4 linked regions of the Lonchura striata genome follow. The protein of the gene in region 4 purifies or fractionates together with the protein of the main gene of each other region. This does not show direct contact. Links are inferred from orthologs where the notes say so. Each region holds a gene or a part of one and is shown on either strand. Other genes may lie near its edges. The genes, in order: ZFC3H1, HBS1L, DIS3L and EXOSC5.

Region 1 (7,168 bases), on a different chromosome or scaffold from region 4:
TCTTCAAATTGTTGCTAACTTCTAGGACTCCTTGCTCAAAGACTTGTGTAGGGTCTCAAGTACTAATGCAGGATCCTCAGTTGATAACCTCTGAGGATACAGGAAATGGTGCTGAGGTTCCTGAGAGGAAATTTCCATTCTTTTTAGCAACATCTAACAGGAGGGAGTTAACTGCTACTTGAATGTGTTTCATCTGAAGTTATCTGTAGTGATTGCTTTATGATCCTAAAAATAAAGTCTCTTGCAAAAGAAAAAAGCTTCTTGCATGCAAGACTTCTGTCTTTTGGGAAGACAGAACTCTTAGAATCAGCTCTTCCATCAGACTATTAATACCAGAGGTGAAAACCTGAAATCACATTTTGACATCTTCCAGATTTTAAAAAAGGTATTGAATAATTGAAGTAATAAAAGCGAGATTTTTCTCATCACCAAGTGCAATCTGAGAAAATAACAATGTGACTCATTTGTATTTTACCATTAATTTACCATAACTACCAAAATAAAAATTACAGACTACTTTTTTACTTAAATAGCTTTTATAAATAATCTTCTCTAAAATATCTCACTTTAGTCTCTTATCTCATATATATATATATATATATATATATATATATCATACTATTACCTCTTCCAAGGGAAGATTCCTTTAGGTATTTAATATAATTTGCTCAGTTAGATCTCTTGGTGAAATATTAATTAATTTTAAGCATCTAATGAGGTATTTAATTCTGTCATTATGCAGCTCTGCCTGCTATTTGAATGTGATTCTTTGTTCTTTTTTCAATCATATGTCCTCCTCTACTCTTTACTTCTTTCATATGTATTTTGAAGGCATTGTGTTCAAGACACTGTGTTCAGGCTATGTTCAGTAAAAACTTACTTATACTTAGTGCTTATTTTGAAGTTGGATAGAAGCTGCTTTCTTCTTAGGAAGATTTCACAAAGCTTTCTGTAAAAAAAAAAAAAATCCAGAAGAAACAAGTTAAGAAACAGAACAAATTTATGTGAAATTGTGCAAGTGTCAAATTGTGGATTAACTGGACATTGTGTCAGCTAACACAGGCAGAACACAGGAAAACCCACAAAACTGCAGAAGAAATGCAAATAATATATTTATCTTTGTTACCTTACCAACTAGGGAATCAACTCTGAACCTATGATAGTAATTGACACTTGCAAAGCAAGAAGAGGAAAAAATAATTTTAGCCTAAGCCAAATTTTATAGTACCAAAATATACTGCATGTCTTTTATATTCTGAAATCTGGCCAAGTTCTTGTAACTCAGACTATGCTTCTGTAAAAAAAATTCACTTTACTTTTTGTAATTGAATTTAATTTACATTATAAACATGTTACTAATTTCCTGCCTCAAACTTTGAAAGAAGTCAAATTCTGTGCTCCTGTATTAAAATACAGGAGGCTGATGAGAGCATTTACGGGAGTGTGCCAGCCAGAAAGACCCACTGTCCTTACTGGCTGATCAATAAAGGCCATTTCTTGTTTGGTATCACCATAAGGAAAAACACGAGTGTAGTATTTTACTACAGTATGGTCTTCTGTATTTTAAATTATTCTATTTGTCCTTTACTGAAAATATATTCAGTATTTAATACAATTTTTTTTTCCAGCAGCAATATAATCTATTTCACAGGCATGAAGTCAAATGCAGCTAAAATAAAATTTCTTTTTTTTTTCTCTTAAGTTCACACATTGCAATGAAACCTCACAAAAAATTCTTTATCTATTACTTGTGTTTTAAGCAAGGAAGTTTCTTCATGTTTTCTATTTGAATGGCAGCTCCCTTGCAGTTTTCAAATGTTTATGGCCTTTGTTCAAATGTGTAGGTAGCAAAACCAGCAGAAAAACACATTCTTTTTACACATGCCCTTTTATTCCCTTTACAGAAAAGAATTTAACACTATTAATTTCCCTATTTATTAACAGTGGTGAATCTGCTTCTTTATGAAAATTTAAAATTACTCATGTAATAACCCTAGATGACAGCAAAAAGCTAGGAATATCAGATGACTGAAATGAAAGAAGGGACATATGATGCCATAGGATATACAAAACCACTGGAAGATTCTCAGGGTATTCTTTTACAGATGGTTAAGTTTTCTGAAGATTCTCAGGGTATTCTTTTACAGATGGTTAAGTCTTCTCTTAGATAGAAATTTATAATACAGATCATATAACATTTTTTTAATAAATTCAGCACACTTGTTGGATGAACAGTAAGCAAACATACAATAAAAATCAATAGAGTGGGAATACCCCTGTCAGGGTAATTTCCCATGAAAGAGTTGACATTTTGCAAATACTTTACAGTTCTATAAACGTTTTTCTTTCCCGCCTAAAAGATACAATTTCCTACTGGTGCATGAAAACACTTAAAAAAGAGGTAACTGTACAAAGGCTACTGGAATCTGATATATGCAAAGCTTTGGGATGCCTAAGTAAGGACATATGCTGGGAGGGAAATTTCTGCAGCTTACATGTGGTGATACTGAAACTTCTTTGTAGCTACAGTGGATTAGATTTCAGACTTGGGCATAGGCACCTAGCAATGTTTAAAAAACCTGCTTGACCTCCAGCTGCTACTTGACAAAGTTTTCAGTATGTTCTATGTCATATTTTCATGTTTTTAGTACTGTGGGATATGTAAAATAATGTAAGCCTGATTCCTAGAGATAGCAACAATTTGAATAGAAGTACTGACACAAATAGCACACTAATGTAGAATGATGTATATTTGTGGTGGGGAGGGGGAGTGAAAAAGCAAACCTTTAACTTGCTCCCCTGTAAACGTCTTTAAAGAATGCACACTGTTTTAAACAGATTAAAAAAAGGACTGTACCCTGTTTTGTATGAAGTCACTGCAGTGGTATCTATTTTAATATCTATTTTTATATTTTCTATATAGTTGTCCCATTGGATCAAAAAAAGAGGTTGAAAAGTGTTTTGAGCAAAGAAAAGTAAGCTTGTTTGGCACAACATTTTTGACTTTAAAAAGCATATGCATTATCCACTCATTATTCTTGTTGGATTTAAAGAAGTCTAGAGAGGAAAGTAAACAGTAACATGATACTGAGTTTTATTTTGGTGCTTGTGATTTCATAGCACATTACTCACTAAAAAATACCCTACAAAACATCTTAATAATTCACTCTCGGGAAAAGCATGAAGATGTAGCCATCTTTTCCCAGGCTTGAAAACCCCGGCAAATCTGCAAAGGTATTTATCATGTATAATTCAAAGGAATCTCTCAGGTTTCTCAAAGTCAGGGTTTGTGAGTTCTACAGGAGACACTAATCTGACTTAGAAAGGCTTTATTTTTTTTTTTTTTTCCCCCACAAGGAAGGCATTACTGCTCTCCAGTCAGCAGTTTTGGTAGGATGTTGCATTCCTTAACAACCAACTAGGTAGCAACAGAATGCTACTTAAGAGATATGAAAATAAAATAGATGATTGAAAGTGTTTATGCAGTTGTTTTACACTCTCTGATGCTCACTTGTCACTTGTATCACTGAAGGCATTAGGGCATTGAACGTCTAGGCAATCACAGCTCTGGAAAGCTCTGCAGAAACCTTCTTAAAAATTTTAACATTAATTTAGCTACTAGGAAGGTTCTGGGGGTATGCCTGAACACCCACTGCTTTCCCTTCTTTAGCAGCCTGTGCACTGTTTGGGGAGAGAAGCAGGGCACAGGCCGCACCAACAGAGAAATGGCATCCAGCACTCCCAATGAGCACCCAGGAGGCCCAAGCCCCCGCAGCCTGGACGGCGCTAAAGGGAGCTACCACTGATCATCCCGCGGCGGATGGCAGGGCAGGACAGGGCAGGGCAGGGCAGGGCAGGGCAGCGCAGCGCAGCCCGCCGCCATGCCACCGGTTCGTCCCCACACAGCGCCGTGCCCCGCGACAAGATGGCGCCTCCTCCCTCGCCTCGCTACCAACATGGCGGGCCGCGCGCCCATTGGCGCCCGCCGCCGCGCGCGATAGGCTGAGGTGCCGGCTTCCCCCGGCCGTGCCTCGCGCGGCCTCGTCCCGAGCGGGGAACTACATTACCCAGGATACCCTGCAATAGGGGCGTTGCCCCGAGCCGTTTCTTTTCTTACGCACGCGACTCTGTCTCCTCCCAGCGGGAGGGGCGGGGCGTGGTCTCGCGAGAGTCCGCGCGGCCGGCGGCGGGGGCGCAGGGCGCGTTGAGACCGTTGTCGTGCGCCCATGGCGGCCGCGGAGGCGGCGGCCGCGCCCGACCCCAGCGGGCTGTCCCCGAAGGAGGAAGGGGAGCTGGAGGATGGAGAGATCAGCGACGACGACAACAACGCCTTCGGGCCCTATGGCGGCGGCTCCGAGCCCACCGGGGGCCTCGGTAACGGCAGCAGCAGCAGTAGCAGGCCGTACTCGAGGCGCCGTCCGCCCCCCGGGCTCCACGGGAGCGGCTCCATGTCCTCCCCCGGGCGGCCCTTCCCGCGCTCGAGGCACCAGCCCCCGCCCGACTCGGGACACGTGCACGGCCACGGCGGGTACCGGCCTAAGGACTCGTTCCGCTCCCACCCGCCGGCGCCGCGGATGCCGCCGGGCTCGCACTCCGACACGGGCCCCAGGCTCTCCTTCTGGGAGCGCAGCCACAACGCCCTGGATCGGTTCCGCTTCCGAGGCCGGCCCTACCGGGGCGGTGGGCGCTGGGGCCGGAGCCGAGGCTGCAGCGATCGGCCAGGCAACCCTCCGGGGAGGCCGCCCGGAGGGGGAGGCGGCGCCGGGTTCAGTAGCAGCCAAGGCTGGAGGGAGCCCTCGCCTCGAAAATGTATCCTTGAGACGTGAGCGGGGCGGGGGGCCCGTGCTGCTGCGGTGGGCCTGGGCGTGGCCGTGCCGCGCGACGTGGCCGAAAGCCGTGGGAAGGAACGCGTTTCCCTCCCGCTCCGGCAGTGAGATTCCCGCAGCGGTAACGGAGAGGGAGGCTCCCAAGCTAATCCTGGAGGTTGGCCGGGACAGCCGGCCCTGCTTAAGGAGAGGCTGCTGGGAAGTTGGATTACTGCCGTGGCGTGGCTTGCGGCTCGGCCGATCTGTCCGGTGTAGGGAAAAAGGAAAAGCATAGCCTGAAAGGAAGGTTTTGTCGGTTGGATTCCGGGCGGCTGCTTTTCTAGCCCCAAGTGCGAATATTAAGAAGTGGGGTCAGCCTTCGGTGCGGCAGTTTTAATATGTGTAATTAGTGTCACAACTGTAAAGCTAAAACCCTAAGCCTGTTAATTTACTGTAATGGGCAATGAAGGGTCTGCTGTTTTTTTTCATTTTCACTTTGATTTCTTCAGAGGCTATTGCACATAGGTTTAGCTTTAGTCAGTTGCTGAGTGGGTCTGCATACACAATTTGTAGTTTATATGGGCATTCAGATGAAAGCCATACCCACCATTTCTTGTAGGATGTTCTCCACTGATTGCTCTTAACAGTTTAGGTGACTCACTCAGTATGAGGATTCTGCTATTTCATCCTTTTAGGAGCAGGAATTGTGAAAGTGGTGGGAAAAGCTTCCCTAACTTTTCTTGTTTGCTATAGGAAGTAACATAAAGAGCTAATAATGCTGAGTGTAGCTTGAGGCAGCCTGGTGACTTGATGTAACTGCATTGTTATCTAACTGAAAATGTAGATGAATGTAAAAAACACTCAGCAAAAGAGATGGTGATTAAATCGTGTTCTATTGTCCTTCATATCAATAGTCAAAGGATGTGTTTTTGCTAGAACCAACAGTGTGGGTTGATTTCTTGGGTCTCTTGGATCTTGTTTTATAGACAAGATTATTTTTTATGTCATTAATTTTTTTTTTTTTTTAATGTAGATGGAGAATGTAAATTAGCAATAGAGACGCTCTTATTTAGTCTCAAGTTACAGCATCATTGAAGGCTTCATTGCCGCCCTTCATTGAAGGGCGCATTTTGTCTTGGGAGGCAGCAAGTGGAGATGTGATTTGCCCAAGTTTTCACAGTAAGACAATTCTACTGCTGAAAATAATTTTAAAGTCTTTTTGCAGTGTTGCTCTAAGTACCTGAAAGTGGTTACTTTCTGTGTGAGGAATAATTTGCAGGGCAAATGTGGAGATTGTCCTAAACAGAAATTAAAATGTTTCTTTATGAGACTGATGCAGTCTCCTCCTCTCTTTTAATTAAAAGAGCATTCAGAAACAAATAATACCATTTTCAAACCAAAAGTAGAAAATGTTTAAGGTGTTTTTATTCCTGGCACTTAAGATTTATGCATCCGTTGAAACATGGCAGATGGAGGATGTTCCTACTCTTGCTCTTTAATAAGTGAACATTCTCTTGTTTATTGATCGTATAGGTAAGGAAGGTCCATGATTTTCTCTCAATATGAGTTACTTCCTGATTTTTTAAACATCCTCGCCACCTAATACAGTCTATATTAGAGAATTAATAAATACTAAGGTACCTCCATGTTGCTAACATTAATGGAGTACTGGTGTAATTCATTGGTATGTGACTTCAGAGCAGACTTTCATATCAATTAGTACAAGGAGGCTTGTGGCCTGGAATGGTATCTTGAGTTCCCCCTGGAAAATAAAATGTTTTAAGTGTCTTGAGTCCTGATTTTGGCTTCTTCTTAGTAGCTAGTACAGTGCTGTTTTTCGGATGTAATGTGAAAATGTTAACACACTGGTATTTTAGTTGTTGCTGAGAAGTGCCTCCACTAAGTCATAGACTTCCAGCATCCCATGCTTTGCCAGTGAGGAGGTGCACAAGAAGCTGGTAGTGTGCAAAACTGAGACCCAAACCTGGCCCAAGTGGTGTTGCATACCACAGAATATCATGCCTGGTGTATAAACTGTGAGGAGTTGGCGGAGAGCCACTGATGGCTGCTTGGAGCTGGGCTGGGTAGTGAGCAATTGTATTGTGTATCACTCTTCTTCTTTGGGCATTATTCCACTTTCACTTTTTGTTATCTCCCTTTTAATTATTATTACTATTTTACTTGATTTCCATTATTAAACTGTTATTTTTTCAGCCCATGTTCCCTCAGCCCCCATTACCTTTTTCCAAGTTCTTTCTTCATCCCACCATGGAAGGGAGGGAGGAATGAAAGTGTGGGATAATAAGTTGCTGACTGGGATAAACTATGATAATCTGGTAAGACAGAGATTGTTTACTTGATTT
Region 2 (7,418 bases), on a different chromosome or scaffold from region 4:
CACTACATAACTGACTGTAACAGAATTATGGCCACTAGGCACTTTTCAAAAGTGTCACTAGCTTTTAAAATTTATTTTATTTAGAAATAAATATCAAAACAGGCATCAATGAATAATACTTGATAATTATTTGAACTAACCTGTTGAAGGAGAAATGCAATAATCATCTTCTACTGATTGGCCATACACATCATCATCTTCAAAGTCTATGAAGCAAAAATAGCAAGATTAATCTACACAATTTCTAAATAATATTATAATTCAAATACGTTCTGCACAAGGTTTTATGAAATAATACATTTCCTGTATTCCAGAAGTACAGTTAGGTTCTGTGTATTTCCTATGTGAGAAATAACCTTCCAAGCTCCAATAACAGAATTTTCTTAAAATAATATAATTTAACATTTAATACTCTATTCATTAGGCTGAAAATTTTCAAGAGCTGCCACACTTCACACCTCCTCCTTCAGCATCTCCTTTGCCCTCACCGACTAAATCTTTCTACATTCCACAAATCTTTACCCATGGCACTTCTCTTGATATTTTTGCTTGACCTCTCAGCCTTCACCCCAGACAGGCAGGTCAATTACAATTTCTAGTCCAACAGCTAAGGATCAGCATTTCTACTCCATTCCTATACATTTCTCACCTTTCTTCTCTATTTTATGCTCACATCTATCCACCTTTCAAATTAAGTTCAGCAAGCAAAAAAAAAATTCACAATTCCCTCTGAATATGCAAAATTGTTTCAGGTAAAAAGCAGGTATCTTATACAGTTACTTAAAGCTAAAAATATTCTTTCCTCACAAAAAAAAAAAAAAAGGCACGCAGAAATAAAAATAATAAGTTATGCGCCTTCCTCTCAAAAAAGGAATCCTAGTATTATGCCAATCTTTAAAAAATTGTGTAATTTTCACTAAGTAATAATGAAATACATGAAAAAAGTAACAAACTATTATTAAAGACACTACTACACTTGGCAGTTTCACAAGTAACCTCTATTTGTTATTGTAAAAGACAGACCCCAGTATGCACTGACCATAAAAATTAGTATTTAAAAATTACATAAATTACAGAGAACAGAGTAGAAGCTACTGAAGTATTCCAGCTGCACTGCCAAGATACTTGCAGATGGAATATCACATTTGGTTATGATCACAGTATCTCAGAAAGGAGAGGGGAAAAACATAGAACATAGTCAAATAAAGCCCAGAAGATCTAAGGCCTCAGAAGTCTTCCTATGAAAGGAAACTAAAAAAAAAACTGTAAATATTCAGCTTAGAAATGGGATTTGTATTTGGGCATTACAGAATCAGATGCAGTATAAAAAAAGCATATTGCATTTAACAGGTAAGAAGACACAAAGTCTCATTCATTTGGGTCATAAATGATTCTGTGTGACTACAGAAGAAACATACGGTACAAGGGTAAAGACCTGACACATAACCTCACAGTCACATTTCCAATAGCAAAATGTGCCTTATTAGCTACTGCGTAGCTATTAAGATTACTGTGTATCTCATTACACAGTAATGAGCAAACTCATTACAAGAGAGTCTGATGAGTGCATCAAGACTCTATGGATTGCACACTCAACTTTTCAAAAGCCAGAGACTCGGCTGAAATCAACGTTTCAACCAATCTGTGATGAAAAATGGTCTCTAGAGGATGAAAAATCAAGCAGTAGAATTCCCAATCTAATTCAGGGCTTTGCCTATATTAGGAAAATTTACACTAGCAGAAACTGCAAGGTGGGAACACAGTCAGCACAGCTCACATGAATTTACAACTTCCAAGAAATTCCAATACCAGAGTGAAAAACCCAATTTGTACTACTATAATACATAAAAACCATGTAGTCTGTTTACTCAACAGAAGACCAGAGGCAAGCTGAAGCTTTCCTTGCATTTTTGTAATAATATGACAAAGTGAAGCAACAAAATTACTGCTCCCTCAGCAAAGGGCTCTTTAAAATATCAGTATGAGCCAAAGTGTGTCCATTTCTCCACAGCCCAAACCAACAAAAATAAAGACTTTCAGGGAAAAAAAAATACTCTGATTTACAGTTTGGGTAAGTTAATGGGGCCAAGGCACAAAGAAAGCTGCCGTACTGCAGATACAAGCCATATTCTTATGGAAGAACTCTTCATTCCATGCAAGAAGCACAAGTAAAATGAGACAGGTGCCTGAAAAAGAGGTTGTTCCCTAAATGCACAACTCCATCTTTAAGAATTACATTTCTTCCTCAAGTAACAGCTGTTAACCCATTTCTATTAACATCAGCAACACTTGGCTAGACTTTGGCCCTGAATACAAATTTTTAAGTTTTTCAAGACTAAAGATGGATGGATTCAACCATACTGAGGCTTTTTTCAAGTCAGTGCCGCTACTGAAAAGCAGAGTAAATTTGGGCAGCTCAAGGCAAGGCAGCCGTGGCTTGGACCACGTACCAAGGCCACGCTCGCCCCGTGTGGAAGCTCCCGGGAGCCCCCGGCAGCAGCAGGAGAGCAGCCACGTGTGCCCGACCCTCCCCACTCGGGCGGGAAACGGGCCGGGAACGGGGCGGGGCGAGGCCTCGCCCGGAGCCCCGACCAACCCCCGCCGAGGGGAGGTGAGGGCGCGGCTTTTCCCCTCCCACCGCCCCTGACAGCCCCCCGGACCCTCCCCTACCGCCGTGCGAGGCCCGCCACACCCTCCTGCCCGCGGCCACGGCACGGGTGGCCCGGCCGGTAGCAGGGGCCGGGCGGAGCGCCGAGGGACCGACGGGTCCGCAGCTCCGCCACCACCGCCTGCTCGCCATAACCGCTACCTTCGTCGTAGTTATATCCTCGGACGTTCCTGTGCCGGGACATGACGGCGACAGCGGCAGCAGCGGCGGCGACGGCCTCGCTCGCCCGCCCGCGGTGACGCTGGCGCGGCCGGCCTAGGTCGCCATGTTGAAGTACGGCGGCGCCTGGAGGCGCCCCCTCCTGCGCAGGCGCGCAGGGCGCCGCTTCCGCCCTCGTGTGCTGCTGGGCATGCGCACGGCCCGTCCCGCCTGGCTCGGGCCGGCGGGTCGCGCGGGGCCGGGGGCGGCGCCCGGAGGCGCTCGCGCCCCGCCCGCGCGGCGGGCGGGGGGGGCGGAGCGGGGAGGGGAGCGCGGCCCCGGCGGCGGGACAGCCGGAGTGCGGGACTGCCCGGCTGCGGGACTGCGGGAGTGTGCGGGGCTGTGGGACTGCGGGAGTGTGGGAGTGCGGGGCTGTGGGACTGCGGGAGTGTGGGAGTGCGGGACTGTGGGACTGCGGGAGTGTGCGGGGCTGTGGGACTGCGGGGCTGCGGGAGTGTGGGAGTGTGGGACTGCCGGGCTGTGGGACTGCGGGACTGTGGGACCGCGGGAGTGCGGAGCTATGGGGCTGCGGGAGTGTGCGGGGCTGTGGGACAGCGGGGCTGTGGGACCGCGGGAGTGCGGGGCTATGGGGCTGCGGGAGTGTGCGGGGCTGTGGGACCGCGGGAGTGCGGGGCTATGGGGCTGCGGGAGTGTGCGGGGCTGTGGGACAGCGGGAGTGCGGGGCTGTGGGACCGCGGGAGTGCGGGGCTATGGGGCTGCGGGAGTGTGCGGGGCTGTGGGACAGCGGGAGTGCGGGGCTGTGGGACCGCGGGAGTGCGGGGCTATGGGGCTGCGGGAGTGTGCGGGGCTGTGGGACTGCGGGAGTGCGGGGCTGCCGGGCGGCGGGACTGGGAAAGCACCTGCGGCTGAGGGGTGCCTGTCGCGGGGGGACCGGCCGGAGCTTGGTGTCCGTGACCTTGGAGGCGTCTTCCAGCCTGAATAAACGTTGCTGCGATTCTGCAGGGTCTGGTAGCATGGAGCCTGTCTGTAGTAGCTGTCTGTGTGGTATTGTGAGTTACAGGGACAGTCTAGATGTGAGATGCCCATTTTCTGTTAATGATGAGTTTGATTCAAGCCAAAAGTGGCAAGTTTTACATGCGCACATGTAAGCAAGTGGTTTGAAGTTTATTCAAAAGCAGTTGCATCATTGATGAAAAGGGAGTATTCTGTATAGGCCTGAATTCACTAAGGGTAGGCTTATTTAAACACACTTGAGGTAAGTGTTTGTGATGTGTGTACCACCACAGGAACAGGGCTTGAAATTAAGTACAAGGCCTTTCTCACTTCTGGATCTGAAACAGCTCCAGCTGACCTGGCTTTTTGATGACAAGTAGCCATTACAATCCAGGGACTGATGAGTGGCCAGGCTTGAATGAGCTGCTGTAGGTAAATGCAAGCTGTAATAATTAGCATTGCTGTTGGCAGCATTAAGCAAAATGTCAAAGCATTAGGCTACGTGGAGCCTTGATCTGACTATATTGGCACATTACTGTGCCATTACTTTCTAATGCCAAGTTTCAGCCTGCAGGAGCAATTGCACTGCCAAGTGTTTGCATAGCCGAGGCATGTCCTACAGCTGCTCCTCTTGCTGGGGCAGACAACTGAGGACAAGCAGACAAGACATTAAGGTCTGGTGAGAGAGTTGGGATAGAGATCCCAGTTCATGAGCTCCAGCTGTGGCAAAATCTGTCTACATATCTGCCAGCGCAGTTGTTCCCCTGCAGATACCTGTGTTCATCTGTGGGCTCGGGAGCTGCTAGGCAGATGACACCATTAATATTTTTGAAGTCAGGTGTCTTTTTCTTTAAGACCTTCAATAATTTATTTACCATCTTTTCATCCAGTCTTGAGAATACCAGAAATCAAGTCCCCCTCCAGCCAGCTGCACGCTCCAGGTTGTCCTCTGATACCCCAGCACACAGCCACACATCCCTACGAATACACATGCCCTGCTTCTGTACCTGTCACCTGACTATTGTCTTGTCCTTGGCCACATGCCAAAACTGTCACTATCTACCACTCCACATCCTTCCTGGCCACTGCCAGAGGTTAATACTGCCAGTATTAACTATAAGCCTAAAGTTTGTGTTCATATACAAATAGTATGCAAAGTTGCAGATTGTTTCCTTATATTATTTGCATATTTCTAACTAATTTCTACAGAGAAGCACATGCAGCTAAACAGGCTTAGGCTCTATATAATGACTTTCATACAGTGCTAGGATTAAAACAGAATTGGAAGCAAAGGTTTCTGGTCAATACTTGTGTCCTGTTGACCTTTAGTGTCCCAAATGTTCTCTGCAGCACAGGTTTGACAGTAGTTGAGCTAATCCTTACCTGTCCCAATCTCTTGACATGAGTCAAAGATACAAAAGTGGAGACTTGCTATCATCCATTATTACTACAGCCAGGGTAGCACACTTCTAAATTCAAAACCTGATTCCAGCATCTGCTTTCTGGGCCTTCAGTGAAGTAACTTGAGCCACTTCATCATTACAACTATATATACCAGTCTGCCTCCAATGGCTTTACTTTGGAAAAGACACTTTCCAGCCTCTGAAATTACTTCAACCCCATTCTTCAAATGTTAAAAACTCCAGTAAATATTAATTATGTACATTTAGGTTTTTTTTTTTTTCTTTCAGGTAGTGACAATTCTTGTTTCTCACGTCTGACCATTGTGTTGCAAAGATATTTCTTTTATCCTTCTTATTGATGCTTTTTACATAAATCACCAGCTGCTTATCAAATAATAAAGTTTTCATGCTTGAATTTTTTTTCATTACTTCTCTTGATTTTCAGTGACTGTGACCTCCTCAGATAGGATGCTCATTTTATTTGCTTGATAATCAAATGTAGGATTGATTTCAAGATTTCAAAATTAGTTCAAAACAGGAAAATAACAGTTGTAAAATATAAAGGTAAATATAACGGTAAGACAAATGGATGAGATTATATAATATGTAGTCTTTCCATGGTATTAACAGTGAACTTAAAATGTTGTTATTTTTCTTCATTTAAAGTGTAATAAGTTATATAAGATATAAGGAAAAAAGAACCCAAAGAGAACAATTTCTTACAGGAGCATAATTATTTCATATTATACTAGTATCTTCAAAGAGTCACAAATACACTGTGATTATTCCTTGCCTTTTCTTAATTCTGAGACATATGTAAATGTTTTAGGGGAAGATGTTCAAGAAATAATAAGCTTTAGTCCTCAAGCCCTAGCTAGCTATACTTCAGTTAGTGCTACTTGTGTATGAATGCGAAGTTCATGAAAAGTATTCATCTGATAGCAAAGCAGTCTTCTATAGCTAAACATTATTCCTTCAGCAGCAATTAAAGCACCATCAGAGAATCTTGTCAGTCTGGCTCCAGCAGCTCTAAGGAATGACTAACCAGGTCACTTGTGGCATCCATTTGCTTCCTGCCCACTGAAATTATATATTACTTTAAGGTGTGTGCCTTAAGAAGTGAACTAAGATCACCGATCTCGATCCAGGTGACAGCATTTCTGATAATCCTCTTTTTTTCAGCAATCTGTTGGGCACTCCCAGCCTCAGCACTATGAATTTTTTTATAAGTGTAAGAATCAGTTAATAAAATACTTAATAATTTCGTTTTAGCTAAGTGGAAAGTCTTTCATATAATGTTATTTCTTCTTCAAGTGATACCGCCAAGCTTTTTAGTGATTGAATAGTCTTAGTTACAAAGCATTCAGCCTATTTCAATATTGTGTTGTTGTTTTAACCCAAAGTGAAGGAAGGCTAGGAAAAAAACAGCATAATTCCAGATATTTTACCACACTACCAGGTGTGGCTGTTAAGTTCTAAAATATAATATTATCAAGGTCAGTAAACACATTTCCAGCTGCTAAATGATCTGACTAGTTCAAATGACATGTAAATACATGTCTATTTTTGTCTAAAATGATGCCATGTAGTCAAAAGCTGATTTAAAAGTTAGAAAACAAAGAGTATTAATAAATTATCATTTTGTACATATGGTAAATAGCAAGTGTCTCAAATTTTCCATAGTATGAATGAGCTTGTTAAATATATTTATTATTTCTTTGGGAATGGATCAATGCAGAACAACAAGTTTCACATATGAGTGATTGATGTTAAGTCAAGACCTTACACAATTTCAACAGGATCCATTAACAGCTAAGTTAGATGGCAGCTAATGGCAAACAGTAATGTAATGGCAATTCAGTCTAGAAAAGTGAGTTCTTTGTATAGTTTAACATAAATTATTAAAACTAGAAAAGACCTTTAAGATTATTCAATCCAACCATAAACCTAACACTGCCAAGTTGACCACATTTTTGTTCCTTACAAGTATGTAAACTTTCTGTTGCAAAAATGAATAAAATATTTCAGTGGCTTTAGGTAAATCTACACTTTCTGTAACACTTGGATTTCAATCCCAAATTCCTCTGTCACCCTGCTGCCTCCCTGCTGGCACTCAGAATACTTCTCATCTGCAGTGACCCAAATATTGGCCCAGAAAAGGAAGTTCAGTCTCTGGAAGGAGGGGAACTGCCTGA
Region 3 (7,588 bases), on a different chromosome or scaffold from region 4:
ATCTCCAGGTAGTCCTGAACAACCTTGCAGTCGGGGACAACGTAGTGTGTGACATCATCTGATAACAATTTGCCATCTAGAAGATAATTCAGAGTTTCAAGGTTCAAACTTTCAGTTGCAGTAATGGTTTCTTGAAAATATTTCCTGATGTAAGAAAATTAGAGTTGTGCCTCCTCAAATGGGTACATTTCTTTTTCTGATGAACAAAATTATGGATTTTATGGTTAACTTCTGTGGTACAGTCCATAAATTTGTGACAAAAACCCTTCTGCATCAACTGATGCCAAACTTTTGTGCAAATTCTATCCAAAGAAGTGAAAAATATCCACTTGCATTATGAAAAGGCTATAGCTTAAGAGAAAAGGTTACAGTTCTTTCTTCTCTGTTTCCATATGAAAAAGGGACTATACATCTGGCACAGAAAATCTTTTCATGGAATTTCTAAAGGCTGTAGAATTATGAGCAGTTCCTTTACTCTGCTCCCACAGCTCTCTCTGTTCAAACACACCATTTACAGCAGGCTCTTTACATAAAAGAGCACAGGTAAGAGTGCACGTAGAGAAAACCACTGCTACTGCAAAGAAAAGATGTTTTTAAACCTAAACTATTAACCATCAGTGTTAATTTTCTTTACAGAGACTCTATCCCTAAGGAATATGCCATGAAAATATCAGACACAACACATCACAGATGACATCTTAAAAAGTACCTCACAATTCAAGAGTTTAATTGCTTTTGGTATTTCAAAGATTACCCAAAAGCTTTCAGATGGGAGGGGATTTCCACTGTATTTTTTCGTAATATCTATTTATTATTTATTATAAACACCAAACTCCCCACAGTGCAGGCAAATTATACAGAATAAAGTATATAGGTTATTTGAATGTATTTCTTAGAAGCTGACAGGGGGCAATCTTTGAGCTGTGACCACAAGAAGTGTGAATCCAGCCAGCACAACTGTGCATGCAGTAACCTGGCCTCATCTCACACTGAAAGCTTATAATGGATGATGGCAGCAGGCGTACAAGAAAGCTAATATTTATTAATAATCCAGAAGAGCATTAGAAGTGAAATGTCACTGGGAGATTTATGAGCTGTGCCCATCCAAAGCTATCCTTGCCTAACCCATCCATTCAGAGCAGAATGACTCCCAGGCAGGCAGAGCTCACCCTTACAAGCACCTGCTGATGTGATTTTCGCAGGTAGTCTCTCACAGGGCATGAAATAGATTTGCTCAGCACACTGTGTAGAGTCTGGAAGGAAAACAAATATCTCACTCACATCTGGGTTACCTTGAATAATCACACAGGGATATATTCTGACCGTCACCTATAGCACAATTTACATTTAAGTACAAAAGAGGGGGAGTTAGGCACAGCAGGAAAGGTTAGAGTTTTTTCTGATGTGTGCCTTTAATTTATCCTTGAGGAATTCACAACCAAATGATGTATTTTAGGGAGCAGTAAGTAGTCCTGATCTCCTAGATAGCAGTAATACACTATAATGATCTAAGTAATACACCTTCTGCCCTCGATTGCAACCTAAATCAAAAGTGAAAACATCTATCCCAATCATAGTTCCAAAGAAAAAAAAACTGTCACAATTCTCAACCTTTTCTTTCAGGCAAGTCATTTCAACAAGTCGATTTCAACAAGTTGGATATTATGTTTGTTATTTACCAGTCAGTTTCCTGCATCAAATAAATTGTGCTATTGAACAACCACAACAACAAACCCAACTGAAATATCAACCACAGCTCTGGTGATGATCTACGATGCACATAACAGCACCACAGTACGTAAGAACAACAACAAATGCAGACATCAGAGCCTGGCAACCTTCCCGTGTCTGAAATGCCCTGATATAACACAGGCAATTACATTTAATTACTGAACAGAAATAGCTACTGATGAAGAATTACAATGGCTTCAAGATAATGGCTTGGCCCCATTGTAATACTTAACAGGTATGTATAGAATTTAACTCATGCTATAAACCACCACCCTGCAGAAATTAATTCATTTTAAAGGATCTTTTAAAACAAGAGAAGTGTAAAAATTGAACAATCCTTTAGCCTTTTATCACTGCCAGTAAACTGTTCACAGTTAAACTCTCTAACAATCAACTCCACGATTCCTTCCGCTCTTAACGCCTCGTTGGTTTCTCAAGGGTCTTGCTGTAAAGGAAAACTATTGCTACAGCCGTGATTTGTTCAGCACCATCCGGACACCCCAGAACGGGGATCACCCCTTCCCCACCAGGGATAACCCTTGCCCAAGGATCATTCTCTGTCCTCAGGGATCCAGCTCAGGGATCATTCCCTGTCCCCAGGGGTTCCCCCAGCTCAGGGATCATTCTCTGTCCTCAGGGATGCTCCCAGCTCAGGGATCATTCTCTATCCTCAGGGATGCTCCCAGCTCAGGGATCATGCTGTCCTCAGGGGTTCCCTCAGCTCAGGGATCATTCTCTATCCTCAGGGATGCTCCCAGCTCAGGGATGCTCCCAGCTCAGGGATCATTCTCTGTCCTCAGGGATGCTCCCAGCTCAGGGATCATTCTCTGTCCTCAGGGGTTCCCTCAGCTCAGGGATCATTCTCTATCCTCAGGGATGCTCCCAGCTCAGGGATCATTCTCTGTCCTCAGGGGTTCCCCCAGCTCAAGGATCCCCCCCCAGCTCAGGGATCATCCCAGCCCAGGGATCACTTTGCCCGCAGCTCTGTCCCCCGTCACCCGCGGCCCCGGGGGACGCCGCCCGCCGCCCCACGGGCGATCCCGGCTCTGTCCCGGCTCTGTCCCGGCTCTGTCCCGGCTCCCCCCAGTCCCCTCACGGCGGAGCCTCACCGCGGGCGCGGGCGGCGCGGCACTGGGCGCTGCGGCACAGGGCGCTGCGGCACGGCACGTCGGGCCGCAGGTAGTGCTCCCGCACCACCCGCACGGCGCGGCCGTGCTGCCCCCGCAGCTGCAGCACCTTCTCCGTGCGGAGCATCGGGGCGGCGGGGACCGGCCGCGAACGGCGGCGACCGGCCGCGAACGGCGGGGACCGGCGGCCCCGAGGCCGCGACTGCCGGGGCGCCTGCGCGGGGCGGGGCGCGGGGTCACAGCGCGGGGATCGGCTCCAACCGAGGGGCGGGAAGAACGCGGGTGGGGCGGGCTGAGGGGACCGGGGCGGGCTGAGGAACCGGGCGGGATCGAGCTGGGGGAACCGGGCGGGATCGGGCTGAGGGGACCGGGGCGGGCTGAGGAACCGGGCGGGATCGAGCTGAGGGAACCGGGACAGTCTGAGGAACCGGGCGGGATCGAGCTGAGGGGACCGGGACAGTCTGAGGAACCGGGCGGGATCGGGCTGAGGGAGCCGGGGCGGTCTGAGGAAACCGGGCAGGATCGAGCTGAGGGGACAAGGGGCGGTCTGAGGGAACCAGGCAGGATTGAAGTGAGGGGACCGGGACAGTCTGAGGAACCGGGCGGGAACGAGCTGAGGGGACAAAGGGCGGTCTGAGGAGTCGGGCGGGATCGAGCTGAGGAGACCGGGACAGTCTGAGGAACCGGGCGGGATCGAGCTGAGGGGACCGGGGCGGTCTGAGGAACCGGGCAGGAACGAGCTGAGAGAACCGGGACGGTCTGAGGAACCGGGCGGGATCGAGCTGAGGGGACCGGGCAGGATCGAGCTGAGGGGACCGGGACAGTCTGAGGAACCGGGCGGGAACGAGCTGAGGGGACAAGGGGCGGTCTGAGGAACCGGGCAGGATCGAGCTGAGGGGACAAGGGGCGGTCTGAGGAACCGGGCAGGATCGAGCTGAGGGGACAAGGGGCGGTCTGAGGAAACCAGGCAGGATTGAAGTGAGGGGACCGGGACAGTCTGAGGAACCGGGCAGGATCGAGCTGAGGGGACCGGGACAGTCTGAGGAACCGGGCGGGAACGAGCTGAGGGGACCGGGGCGGTCTGAGGACGGGGTGGGAGCGAACTGAGGGAGCTAGAACTGGAGCTGAGGGACAGAGGGAGCGAGCTGAGGGAGCCGAGGCGGCCGAGGGACCTGGAGGAGCGAGCTGAGGGGACTGGAACCGGAGCTGAGGGAACCAGGGCGGCCCTGAGGAGCGGGCAGGAGCGGGCTGAGGGGGAGCCCGATCAGTGCAAGCCCTGAGGGAGCCCAGGCTTGTGTGGCTGAGCGGGCACAGAGGGCGGATTCCCTTCAAGTGAGGGATGCAGTTGTATGAACCTCCATGTTCTTTCTCGTCATCTTCCAGGAGAAATCCCAGGTCTGTTCCTCACCCCTGATTTTGTGTGACCACATGTCAGAGCACTCCAGGAAATGAGGATCAGGGAAAAGGTGCATGACGAGAGCAGGCAAGCCCTAATGACAACTTATTTTACAGTAATCACCAATATTGTCCTTCACATTTAGAGGGGAAGATAAAGGCACTGACAGGTGAAGTCTGGTCCAAGATGAACCAGAAAAGCAGTGGAAGGTCAGGAGTCCAAAGCAGTGTCTCTGGTGTCTGTGATGCTGCCATCCATTTTGGGGATGATTGTGTTGACTGTTAGAAAAGCATTCATACTTTCTCAAATAATAAGTGCCTACACTATAACTTCACTTGAACATAAATACATGGTGAGAGCTGTGTAGTGTTTGTTCTTAGGAGGGGAAAAAACACTGGGAAAGAGCCAAGGCAGTATGTCACTGTATGTTCCTGTTTATTCTACTTCTTATTTTTCACATGTTTTATAAAATGTGTATCTCCAATGACTAATACTTCTAAGTAACCAATTTGTGCCAGTAAATGGAAGCACCATCTGTAAGTAGCTGATTTGCAGAAGCCAAGTTCTCAAACATCTGAGGAGGAGGAGGTGTTATAACTTAGTGAGAGACGACCAAAGTGTAGACTTGGGTTTGGGAGTCAAGATGACTTCAAATGTATTATGTAAGCAGGATGTGAGAGGAAAAGGGAAATGGAGAGCAAAATGATGGAGATCTTGTTCAGCAGGAGCAAAGATGAAGTAACCCATGCTGATAGAAAGGGTAATAAAAACACAACATTTGGGAAAAAAAGACATTTAGTTGAGTTTGAAATGTAGCAGATGCTGATTGCTGACACAGTGAGGAACACAGACCAGTGTGCTTACTCAGTGACATTCAATGACTGTAATAAAATGAAGGTTAATTAAATAGAAGTAGCTGAGATGACTGCTCTCATTTGTGCACTGTTTCACAGAGGAAAATGGAAGACCTTTGGGCCAAGTTCACACCCTAGGGATACTGTTGAGTAGCTGCACTTGTATTTATAACATCCTAGTCTGAGCAGTTTTTTCATTCTAGTGTTTCCCCACTTCTTTCCTCTCTTGGAAGAAACCTCAAATGACTGCAAAAGACAAAGCTGGAGTCACTAGAGCCAAAGAGAGCTCTTGGCACTTTATCTGACAGCTGAATTTGTCCCTGTGAGATCAGAGGTGAACTTTCACACTCTGCTATTTCATGCTGATCTGTTATTGTCTTTACACAAGGCAAGACATTTGTGCAGGGACAGCCAAAACTAGCAAGATAACATGTATATATTTAATTGTTTTAAAATAAAAGCTGCAAAAATGTTGGTGTATCCATATTAGAACATCTTAACAAATCTTGAAGAATAAAGATGATGTGCACTCTGCTTGCAGAACTATGGGACATCTATTGCTTCATACAGCTTAACTTCATGAAGTACTTTGTAAAGGAATAAATCATGGTAGAATATATTCCTCACTTTGTGCAATGCCCCTGCGTATAACAACAGTGAGTGCTAGAGAAGCTTTTATTTTCACATGGGCAATGGAAGTCTTTACAGTTGTGCTTGCTTGGGATGGGAAGTGGGAACCTCTTGGGAGCTCTCCCTGCCTGGAGAAGCCTGTCAGAAGATGCAGGACAGATTTCAGAGTGTTACCTTTTCACAGAAGTGTTTGGGCCAAGAAATTTGAGGTCACTGGAGAATACCAGCAATTGGCTCAAGCTTCCGAAGCCTGACTCACCTGACAAATGCCACAAACAAGAGGCAGAAGATAAATCTGGAATCCACATAGTCATGGAATCAATAGAAATTGTATCTTTCCATTTGAAAAAGGGCTTTTTATATTTTTTTTTCATCCAAGTACTCTGTGACTGAAGTAGAGGATGCAAGATTTGATTATCTTATAGCATATTTTTGAAGTTGGTTCTCCCATTCTTAAAGCAATTGGGGAACAATTAGCAATTCATCATCTCCTTCTAACTCAACCTAAACTGGATAAATGCTTCCTTCTCTTGGAGATTCCTTCTGGATCGCTGGCTCAGTAAAAGCCAAGTATTGTAAAAATTGCACCCACATCTAGAAAGGTCTCGAGATTAATGTGCCATTCCTTGAACTCATAAAAAAGAAAGACATTAGATGATCTTAACAATGTCTGTTTTATGTAATCCCATGTCCACTGGCATTAATTATGTCCCCCTCCTTTAATTATTTTTGTCAGATCTCATGTTAATTAGACTCTGTTATTTTGCTTAGGATTGCACTTTGACTGATGATTATCTCATTTATCCTTTAAAATAATTTATACAGCGTTACAATTAGAATGCTAATGTTCTTCTAATTTTAGCGAAAACGATTTTTTATTCGTGCATTTTTGGGCTTCCCAATATTCTCCGTGGATTTCCGTCCGTCCAAACCCGCTTAGTGTTTTGCGTTTGCAGTACCGGACACCCCCGCTGGGGGACGCTCTGTAATCGAGTTTGGGTTGAAATAGGAACTTTCGCTTCCCTGCCCGTGTCTAATGGGCTAAAATTCCACCTTTCAGCTTCCGTGGACAAACTGCTTGGAGTTGTTTATAGCATAAAAAGACAATTTTCTCCACAAAATAAACTAGAAAGCGATGCTTCTCTATAATAAAATAATAATAAAAAAAAAGGCTTGCAGATCTCTTCAAGCATGTCAGGAATATGAAACTACACGATGTTTACAATTATTGGAAGCATAAAAGCAATTTATCACAATACCTGATATTTACTATGGCATGCATTTGATCTTCTTTCCCCCATCCTTTTCTTCCATGGATGCAGTTCAAAAGTTTACAGCACAGGAATGCAACGCTGTGTACTATAGTGTTTCACTTATTTTCTGTACCTTGGCTTAGTTTATCCCAGGGTTTCCCACTGGATTTACTGATGAGAGAGCCTCAATATTATTTAAAGAGAAAAAAGCCTTTATGCTGAGATATTTAGAATGCTACACTTTGTCTGATCAGGGAGCTTTAGGTTGTTTGCAGCTGATTAATAACTCGGTGTAGTCCAGATTTTCTGCTTTCATAAAATATGCTTATATTTGTTGTGCTAGAAATTATGAAAACACTTTGGATCAAAGGAGAAGGCCACCATATCAATCATTTTTTATCAAAATGCATTTGATTTGGTGGGAGCCCTTGCACTGAGATGATGCTCAGGGTTGTCTCAGCCTGCAGAGCAGCTCCTGCAGGGTTCAGAGGATAATGGTGGTCAGAGATGGAAAGACCCAACAGGTCAGATTTTCCACCCACTTCCAAATTGGGAGTGCTCCCTCTGGTACATCTCGCTCAAGTCTGGGGTCAGTGC
Region 4 (7,155 bases):
CGCGCTGGGCCACGGCCAGGCACTGCTGCATCTGCAGGGGCGAAGGGCCGGGAGTGAGGGGCCCCCTGTGAGGGATCCTGCACCCCAAAACCCGCGCGGGGAGTCCCTCACCTCCTGCACGGAGCAGCTGCCCTTGGTGGTGACCATCAGCACCTTCCTGTCGGTGCTGGCGATGGCGAAGGTGAGGATGGCGCGTGCCTCCTGCGGGGACAGGGGTCAGCGGGGCTGGGTGGGCACCCTGGAGCAGGGCTCCCCCCGGGCTCACCTGCTCCTGCCGGGCTGTGGGGTCCAGCAGGATGGCGCCGTCGGGCTGCAGAGCGCAGGTGACGCCGCAGAAGAGAGCAGAGAGGGGCAGGCCCGCATCCAGCAGCGCCATGCAGGCGGCATTCAGGCAGCAGGAGAGCAGCTGTGCGTGTCAAGGAGCCACAGCACCAAGAGCCCCGCTCCCCCGGCCCCCCGGCGCCTCCCACACAGCAAAGGATACCGAGCCGGCGTCGCTGAGCACCTGCAGCACCAGGGAGATGGCGGTGCGCGGGTGCAGCACGCCCAGCACCACGGCCTCGCACGTCTGCTGCAGCAGCTGCTCCCGGCTGCGCTCCAGCACACCTGCGCCGAGGGCAGAGGGTGTCAGCTCAGCCACAGCCCCTGCCCCGGGAGCCTCAGAAAGAAAACCCAGGCCCAGAGCCCAGCGGGCTGGTGGGTGCCCGGGGAGTGCAGAGCCCTGCACGGGGAGCTCCTGCAGGACACGGCAGGGCTGCAGGGACGAGCCTGGGGAAGGAGGAACTCCTGCGGACGGTGCTGGCCGTGCTGAGCGGGCTCCGGCCGTGTGAAAAATGCACCTTTTATGATTGGTTTTACAAACGTTACAGTGGATATTGTATGTGTCATGGTAGAAAGTTATGCTGTATTAATGCTCTTAGGTACTGTGTTAAATATAGTTTCAGGTTCCAGCATAGTATTAAAATAGAAACTGCTAGGTAAAGGGGTTTTTTAACTGTTTGCTTATCAAAAGAAGCTAATTTCTTCAGGTCTTGCTCAGACTGGAAGATGCCATGGGGATTAAAGGAAACAGCTGACATACAACAGAAAGAGTTCTTGTTTTAAATAGAATGTATGCATAACCAAGAAGGATATATGAATATGCAACAGGCTGTTGTTTTTAAGGTTACTCCTTTGTCCACAAAGTATACTTTTCATAACTTAGTGTCCGAGAGCATCCAGACATCCGTAATTCTTTGCTTTTTATTGTCTTCCAATTGTCCTAACTCTGAATTTTATTACTGTAATTGTATTACTATTTTTATAACCATTTTATTATTATTAAACTTTTAAAATTTTTAAAAACCGAGTGATTGGTGTTTTTCAGAGCGGGAACAGGGCTGGCAGTGGGGTCAGGCCCAGAGGCAGAGCAGAGCCAGAGCCAGCGCGGCACTAATTAGTGACAGCAGCCGGGACTCGTCACCCAGCAGCAGGGAGAGCATTAATTAACCACACAGCTGGGGAGCAAACGAGCAGCAGTGCCTTTGCTTGCTAAAATGTGGCAATAACACAGGGGTTTGTGGATTTGCCACCCAGCAAAACTGATTTACAGTGCTGTAAATAAACCCAACACGGCGACTCTGGGGGAAGAGCCTGCTCCGGGGCAGGCGGGAGGCAGTCCCACCTGGCAGCCCCACCTTGGGGCGCAGCAGCACGTCCAGCGCCGCCCGGTCTGGCAGCTCCTTGCTGATCTTGGCCTCCGCGGGGCCGTACAGCCCGGCCAGCACCGAGGTGTCCCCTGGGCACACAGGGCAGCGCGCTCGGTGAGGACGGGAGGGCACCGGGAAGGGCAGGAGGGGAGCCGGCCAGGGGAGAAGGGGAGCCCTGCGACCACAGCACCACAGAGCCTGCGGGAAGGGCTGGGGAGGAGCGAGGAGTCCCGGGAAGCTGAGCCGGGAATGACTAGGAAGGAGAGACTCGGGGGGAAGGCTGGGAAAATGAACCACAGGAACGAACGAAGGGCAGAGCCGGCGAGTGAGCCCCGCAGAGTCTGCAGGATGGGAGGGGATGGATGGATGGGGATGGGGATGGGAATGGGGTGGGGATGGGATGGATGGGGTGGGATGGGGATGGGATGGGGATGGGATGGGGTGGGATGGGAATGGGATGGGGTGGGATGGGAATGGGATGGGAATGGGGCTGGGGTCATCAGGATGGTGTGGGATGGGATTGATTGGGATGGGATGGGAATGGGATGGGATGGGATGGGATGGGATGGGATGGGATGGGATGGGATGGGATGGGATGGGATGGGATGGGATGGGATGGGATGGGATGGGATGGGATGGGATGGGGTGGGGTGGGGATGGGATGGGATGGGATGGGATGGGATGGGATGGGATGGGATGGGATGGGATGGGATGGGATGGGATGGGATGGGATGGGATGGGGTGGGGTGGGGTGGGGTGGGATGGGGTGTGGATGGGATGGGGTAGGGATGGGATGGGGTGGGGATGGGATGGGGTGGGATGGGATGGGGTGGGGATGGGATGGGGTGGGATGGGGTGGGATGGGGTGGGATGGGATGGGAATGGGGCTGGGATGAGCGGGATGGGATGGGATGGCATGGGATGGGATTGCGGCTGGGGTCAGCAGGATGGCGTGGGATGGGATTGATGGGGTGGGATGGGGGTGGGATGGGGATGGGATGGGAATGGGATGGGAATGGGATGGGATGGGATGGGATGGGATGGGATGGGATGGGATGGGATGGGATGGGATGGGATGGGATGGGATGGGATGGGATGGGGATGGGATGGGATGGGGGTGGGATGGATGGGACGGGACGGGCAGCCCCGGGCAGCGCAGCCCCACAGACCCTGCAGGAAGGCGGCCGAGCCGTCGGGCCGCGAGAGCAGCCCCAGCTCGCAGGAGAAGCGCCGCAGCCGGCACGGCCCGTCCACCGCCTCCGCCTCCACCACCTCCGCCGCCATCGCCGCCGGATCCCCGCTCCGCCGCCGCTTCCGCTTCCGGGCCAAGCGGCGGCCAATCACAGACGGGCGTCGCGACATCCAATGAGCGCTGGGCATCGCGATAGCCAATGAGCGCCGGGCAGCGCGATAGCCAATGAGCGCCGGGCAGCGCGATAGCCAATCAGCGCCAGGCGTTGGGGCAGATGGGACAGGGGGACTCTATCATGCATCGCGTATGAGATAGATGAATATGCAACAGACTGTTGTTTTTAAGGTTATTCCTTTGTTCACAAGGGATGCTTTTCATGACTGAGTGTCTGAGAGCATCCAGACGTCCGTAATTCTTTGCGTTTTATTGTCTTGCAATTTCCCTAACTCTGAATTGTATTACTCTAATTGCATTACTATTTTTATTATTATTAAACGTTTAAAACTTTTAAAAACCAAGTAATTGGCGTTTTTCACAACGACACCAGGGGAAGAAGGAAAGTCCTGCCTCTTGTGTTTAACTGCTGTGTCCGTGCTGCTGTCAGCACCCGCATCCCTGTCCGTGTCTGGTCCCTGCCCCTGGCCGGGGTCCCCGGGGAGGGGCACCCCGAGCCCAGCCCGGCCACAGCCCCACATGGACACAGGCTGGGTGGCTGCAGCGGGAGCCATGGGGCTCCCCAGAGGAACCCACAGCAGCTTCAGCCCTCTGATCGCACCCAGGAAGCTCCTAAATCACAGCATGAGCCAGGCTGGAAAAGACCTCTGAGATCATCAAGTCCCAGCTATGCCCTGACACCGCCTCATCACACCCAGGCTTTTATTAAACTCCTGAAGGGACGGTAACTCCACACCTCCCTGGGCAGCCCATCCCAGTGCCCAGCCCCTCTTTCAGTGGAGAATTTTTTCCTGATGTCCAACCTGACCTTCCCCTGCATGCTGCAGCTCACAGCTCCAGCTGAGCGCTGAATTCTGTTGCTACTCTGATTTTTAAAAGTGTTAACTTTTCTTTTACAGTTCTTTTGAAAGTTTCCAGATGTTGTTATTGGACACAAAAGGTGTACACAGAAGTTTGGTGAGTTCAAGAGAGAAAAACAGACAGTTTTATTTCTGACCTTGCAATGTAACATAAATAATGTAATTCCAAAAGTGACAGTGGATTGGAGGATGAAACTGCCACCTCTCCAACCACACTGGTCAAACCAACAGTCCATCAATTCTCTCCTCCCACAAAGAAGAATGCAAAGCAATCGTTATTTACATGAACATGTGTGAAAAAACTCCAACAGAAATATGTAAACATTATCAGAAGGCTAAAGAAGTTTTATGAAAACTTTAAAAACTTTCAAAAGAACTATAAAAAACTTAACACTTTTAAAAAATCAAAACAACATTCTGCCCTAACAAGGAAAAGGCCAGCACAGCAGCTGCAGGTACCTGGTGCTACTGTAAAGAAAGCTGAAAAAATACAATAAAAGAGGGTGGGGGTGTGCTTCAAGATAAAAATCAGTATTTTAGTCCTGGTTGTTACTTGTGCTGGAGGCACTCCAGGAACAGCCCATCCTAACCCTGATGAGGAAAAAAAGGGTTACTGGTCATGAACAGACAAAGACAGTCTGATTTGCTGTAATGAGTATAGCTGTAACAGAATTTTAGACTTAGGAGTGAAATTTCTCCCTTCAAAATTAAGCAGTAGCTGCAGATGAAAAGACAACACTTGTCCCTTGAGAGAGGATGGGTACAGACTCTTTAATTGCATTAATCCAAGGTGAGGGCAGATAAACACGTGTTTTCTCTCACCAAACTGGCTGTAAGCAATACAGAAATGCCAACGAGCATCACACAAAGCTGTTTTTCCTCTCTGCTGGTATCACTAACCACAGCACCCGATCATGTGTCAGTTGCCAAACACAGGATCATTGTTTCCCCCAGCACAACTGCAAGTCAAGGAGAAAAACTGCACATTTATCTTCCTACAAAGTACAACTTCTGCTTAATTGCTGTTTTTTCCTCCTCTAAAAGTTATGAAAATTTTTTTCCAAGAGGAATACAAAATAATCCATGGTACAACATTTGTTCCCCTTACAAAGACACAAAGATCTTATTTATGTCTTCTGTAAGACAGAGTACAAAACAGTATGAATACAGTAGAGGTTTTCTTTACATCACCAGTACGGTGACGTTTCAGGTATAAATTTCAGCCTCTTCTTTCCAGAAGGGCATTTTTTTGGAAATGTGAATTTGAACGAACCCTCCAAATGCTGGCAGCTCACGGAATGTGTACTCGGGAAACGCGCTGCACAATCGCAACGTATATTAAAACGCGTAAAAACACAGATAATTTCAGAGCGACACCGCTGACCGTCCCTAGCGTCCTTCAGACGGATTTCAGCCTCTATTTCTCTCGCTGCCGCGGCTCGGGAGAGGCGGGAAGGCGGAGCGGGGCTGGCGCTGTGGGGCGCGGGGCTCTCGGTGCCCGGCTGCAGAGCTCCCCGGGCACAGGGCTCGCTCAGTCGCTGTCGTACTCCTCGATCCGCAATTCCTCCTCCTCCAGGAGCGCCTGCGCCGCCACGGGCTGCGGCTGGCTGCCGGGCAGGTCGCTCCCGCTGGACTGGCTGCAGGGGAGCCCCTCGGGGTCGGCGTGGAGCTCGGGCAGCCCGGGGTCGCGGTCGTCCAGAGCCTCCAGCTGCAGCCTGCAGGCAGCAGGGCGGCACGCTGAGCACGGCACAGCCTCCCGGAGCACTGCAGGAACACACCCGGTGCCCCAGCAGCACCCCCGGGCAGCAAACACCCACATTTCTCTGCACTACGGTGTCGTTATGGGATATGTGAAAGTATGGTGCGAGCTACTTGCTATTTGCAAGGTAAAGAAGAAGGTGTATTTTTTTGACTTTAACTTTTATATTGTTCTAAAGGTGACAGTGGGTTGGAGAGTGAATAGGCTACTTCTTTAAAGACATTGGACAAACTACTAGTATATTAACTTCTTCCACCACCACGAAGAAATGCAAAACGATATATTGTTTATAGAAAATATGTGGAAAAGTTTTCTAACAGAATGTAAACTCAGAAGGCTTTAGAAAATCTTAAAAATCAGGGTGACACTACGGTTCCTGCACACTGAACAGATGGAGAACGATGGCAGTGCTTTCAGCAGCATCAGACACTGTGACACCCAGCCAACTTATTGATGCAGATACAAAATGTGACTAACCACAGGTATGCTGCAGGGAAACTTAAAAGGCACAAGGAAGTTATGATTAATGTGAGGAATTTCACACCTTGTGGCACAGACCAGGGGGATTACAAAGAAATGCACCCCTTAGGGACACTTGTCTATCTCCCTAACAACCAAAATGGCTTTTAATACAACAGCTGGGAAACAGGGTGGTTCTTGGAAATACACCTTGGAAATTCACAAAGTCAGCAGCAACACCAGGGCCAAGTAGGAGGTGCTCTGCCAGATGCCTCAGTAAACTATGCCCTAGCTAGGAGATGACAATTTGTCTCACTGCAGCTGTGAACTTGATTCTTTGCTAGAAACACAGCAATTAAAACACTTTAAATTCCAGAGGATCACAGCCCTAGCAGTGTAACTGGGGCTCTGCTGGGGTCAGCGAAGTCTCTGACCCAGAGGGCTCCAAGGAGCCACAGCAGAGCTGCTCGTGCCAGGTCACCCTGAGGCTGCACACGCAGCCCGTGAGGAGCCACTGCAGCCCACAGGGAAACACCTGGGTTTTCAGCAGTCAGCAGCTCTAGCCTGATGAGAAACGGTGCATTCTGCACAAGGTTTACTCTGAGTAGCCTTACGGGCAAAACTTCCACAAGATTACACCAGTGCAGCTAAGTCCAGATTAAACAGACCTTTAAAAATACCTTGTCTTTGTTACATCACAGACTCATGCCATCACAGGGTTCTCCCCCTTCACAGATGACACAGTCTCACTTTTTAACTACAGGCAGAAGTTCAACTTACCTCCCAAAATGTCTTTTCAGTGGCAGCCTCCCCACGTCTTGGATAAAAGCAATCTGAGCTGAGAACAAAGAGCCACCAGTATCGTATTAGGTAGATCATAATGAACAGACAGCTGAACTAGAAAATAAACAATACTAGAAAATAAACAATTACCTTAGCTGAGTATTCCTGTAAATATTTGAAATGTTTTAGATACCAAAACACCGTGTGTGTAACTTTTCCCCCCAAACTGTTAGTTTACCA

The links.
Region 1: the proteins of EXOSC5 (region 4) and ZFC3H1 purify together in Homo sapiens (affinity purification with mass spectrometry; 3 studies listed by BioGRID and IntAct, with this or other methods). This does not show direct contact. The link is inferred for Lonchura striata from reciprocal best matches to the Homo sapiens genes EXOSC5 and ZFC3H1.
Region 2: the proteins of EXOSC5 (region 4) and HBS1L purify together in Homo sapiens (affinity purification with mass spectrometry; 3 studies listed by BioGRID and IntAct, with this or other methods). This does not show direct contact. The link is inferred for Lonchura striata from reciprocal best matches to the Homo sapiens genes EXOSC5 and HBS1L.
Region 3: the proteins of EXOSC5 (region 4) and DIS3L purify together in Homo sapiens (affinity purification with mass spectrometry; 5 studies listed by BioGRID and IntAct, with this or other methods). This does not show direct contact. The link is inferred for Lonchura striata from reciprocal best matches to the Homo sapiens genes EXOSC5 and DIS3L.

Annotation. Positions count from the first base shown.
Region 1 is NC_134607.1:45,484,135-45,491,302, reverse strand, and holds the start of ZFC3H1 (zinc finger C3H1 domain-containing protein), read left to right. Parts: upstream 1-4,159; 5' UTR 4,160-4,226; coding exon 4,227-4,809; intron 4,810-7,168. UniProt on the Homo sapiens protein: Subunit of the trimeric poly(A) tail exosome targeting (PAXT) complex, a complex that directs a subset of long and polyadenylated poly(A) RNAs for exosomal degradation. The RNA exosome is fundamental for the degradation of RNA in eukaryotic nuclei.
Region 2 is NC_134605.1:58,287,869-58,295,286, reverse strand, and holds the start of HBS1L (HBS1-like protein), read right to left. Parts: upstream 3,001-7,418; 5' UTR 2,853-3,000; coding exon 2,810-2,852; intron 207-2,809; coding exon 141-206; intron 1-140. UniProt on the Homo sapiens protein: GTPase component of the Pelota-HBS1L complex, a complex that recognizes stalled ribosomes and triggers the No-Go Decay (NGD) pathway.
Region 3 is NC_134613.1:22,671,914-22,679,501, reverse strand, and holds the start of DIS3L (DIS3-like exonuclease 1), read right to left. Parts: upstream 3,022-7,588; 5' UTR 2,986-3,021; coding exon 2,841-2,985; intron 77-2,840; coding exon 1-76. UniProt on the Homo sapiens protein: Catalytic component of the RNA exosome complex which has 3'->5' exoribonuclease activity and participates in a multitude of cellular RNA processing and degradation events.
Region 4 is NC_134642.1:86,203,209-86,210,363, reverse strand, and holds the start of EXOSC5 (exosome complex component RRP46), read right to left. Parts: upstream 3,015-7,155; 5' UTR 2,973-3,014; coding exon 2,858-2,972; intron 1,778-2,857; coding exon 1,664-1,777; intron 607-1,663; coding exon 485-606; intron 407-484; coding exon 266-406; intron 202-265; coding exon 112-201; intron 32-111; coding exon 1-31. Other genes in the region: cell cycle checkpoint protein RAD17, read right to left, coding at 5,446-5,629, 6,913-6,970. UniProt on the Homo sapiens protein: Non-catalytic component of the RNA exosome complex which has 3'->5' exoribonuclease activity and participates in a multitude of cellular RNA processing and degradation events.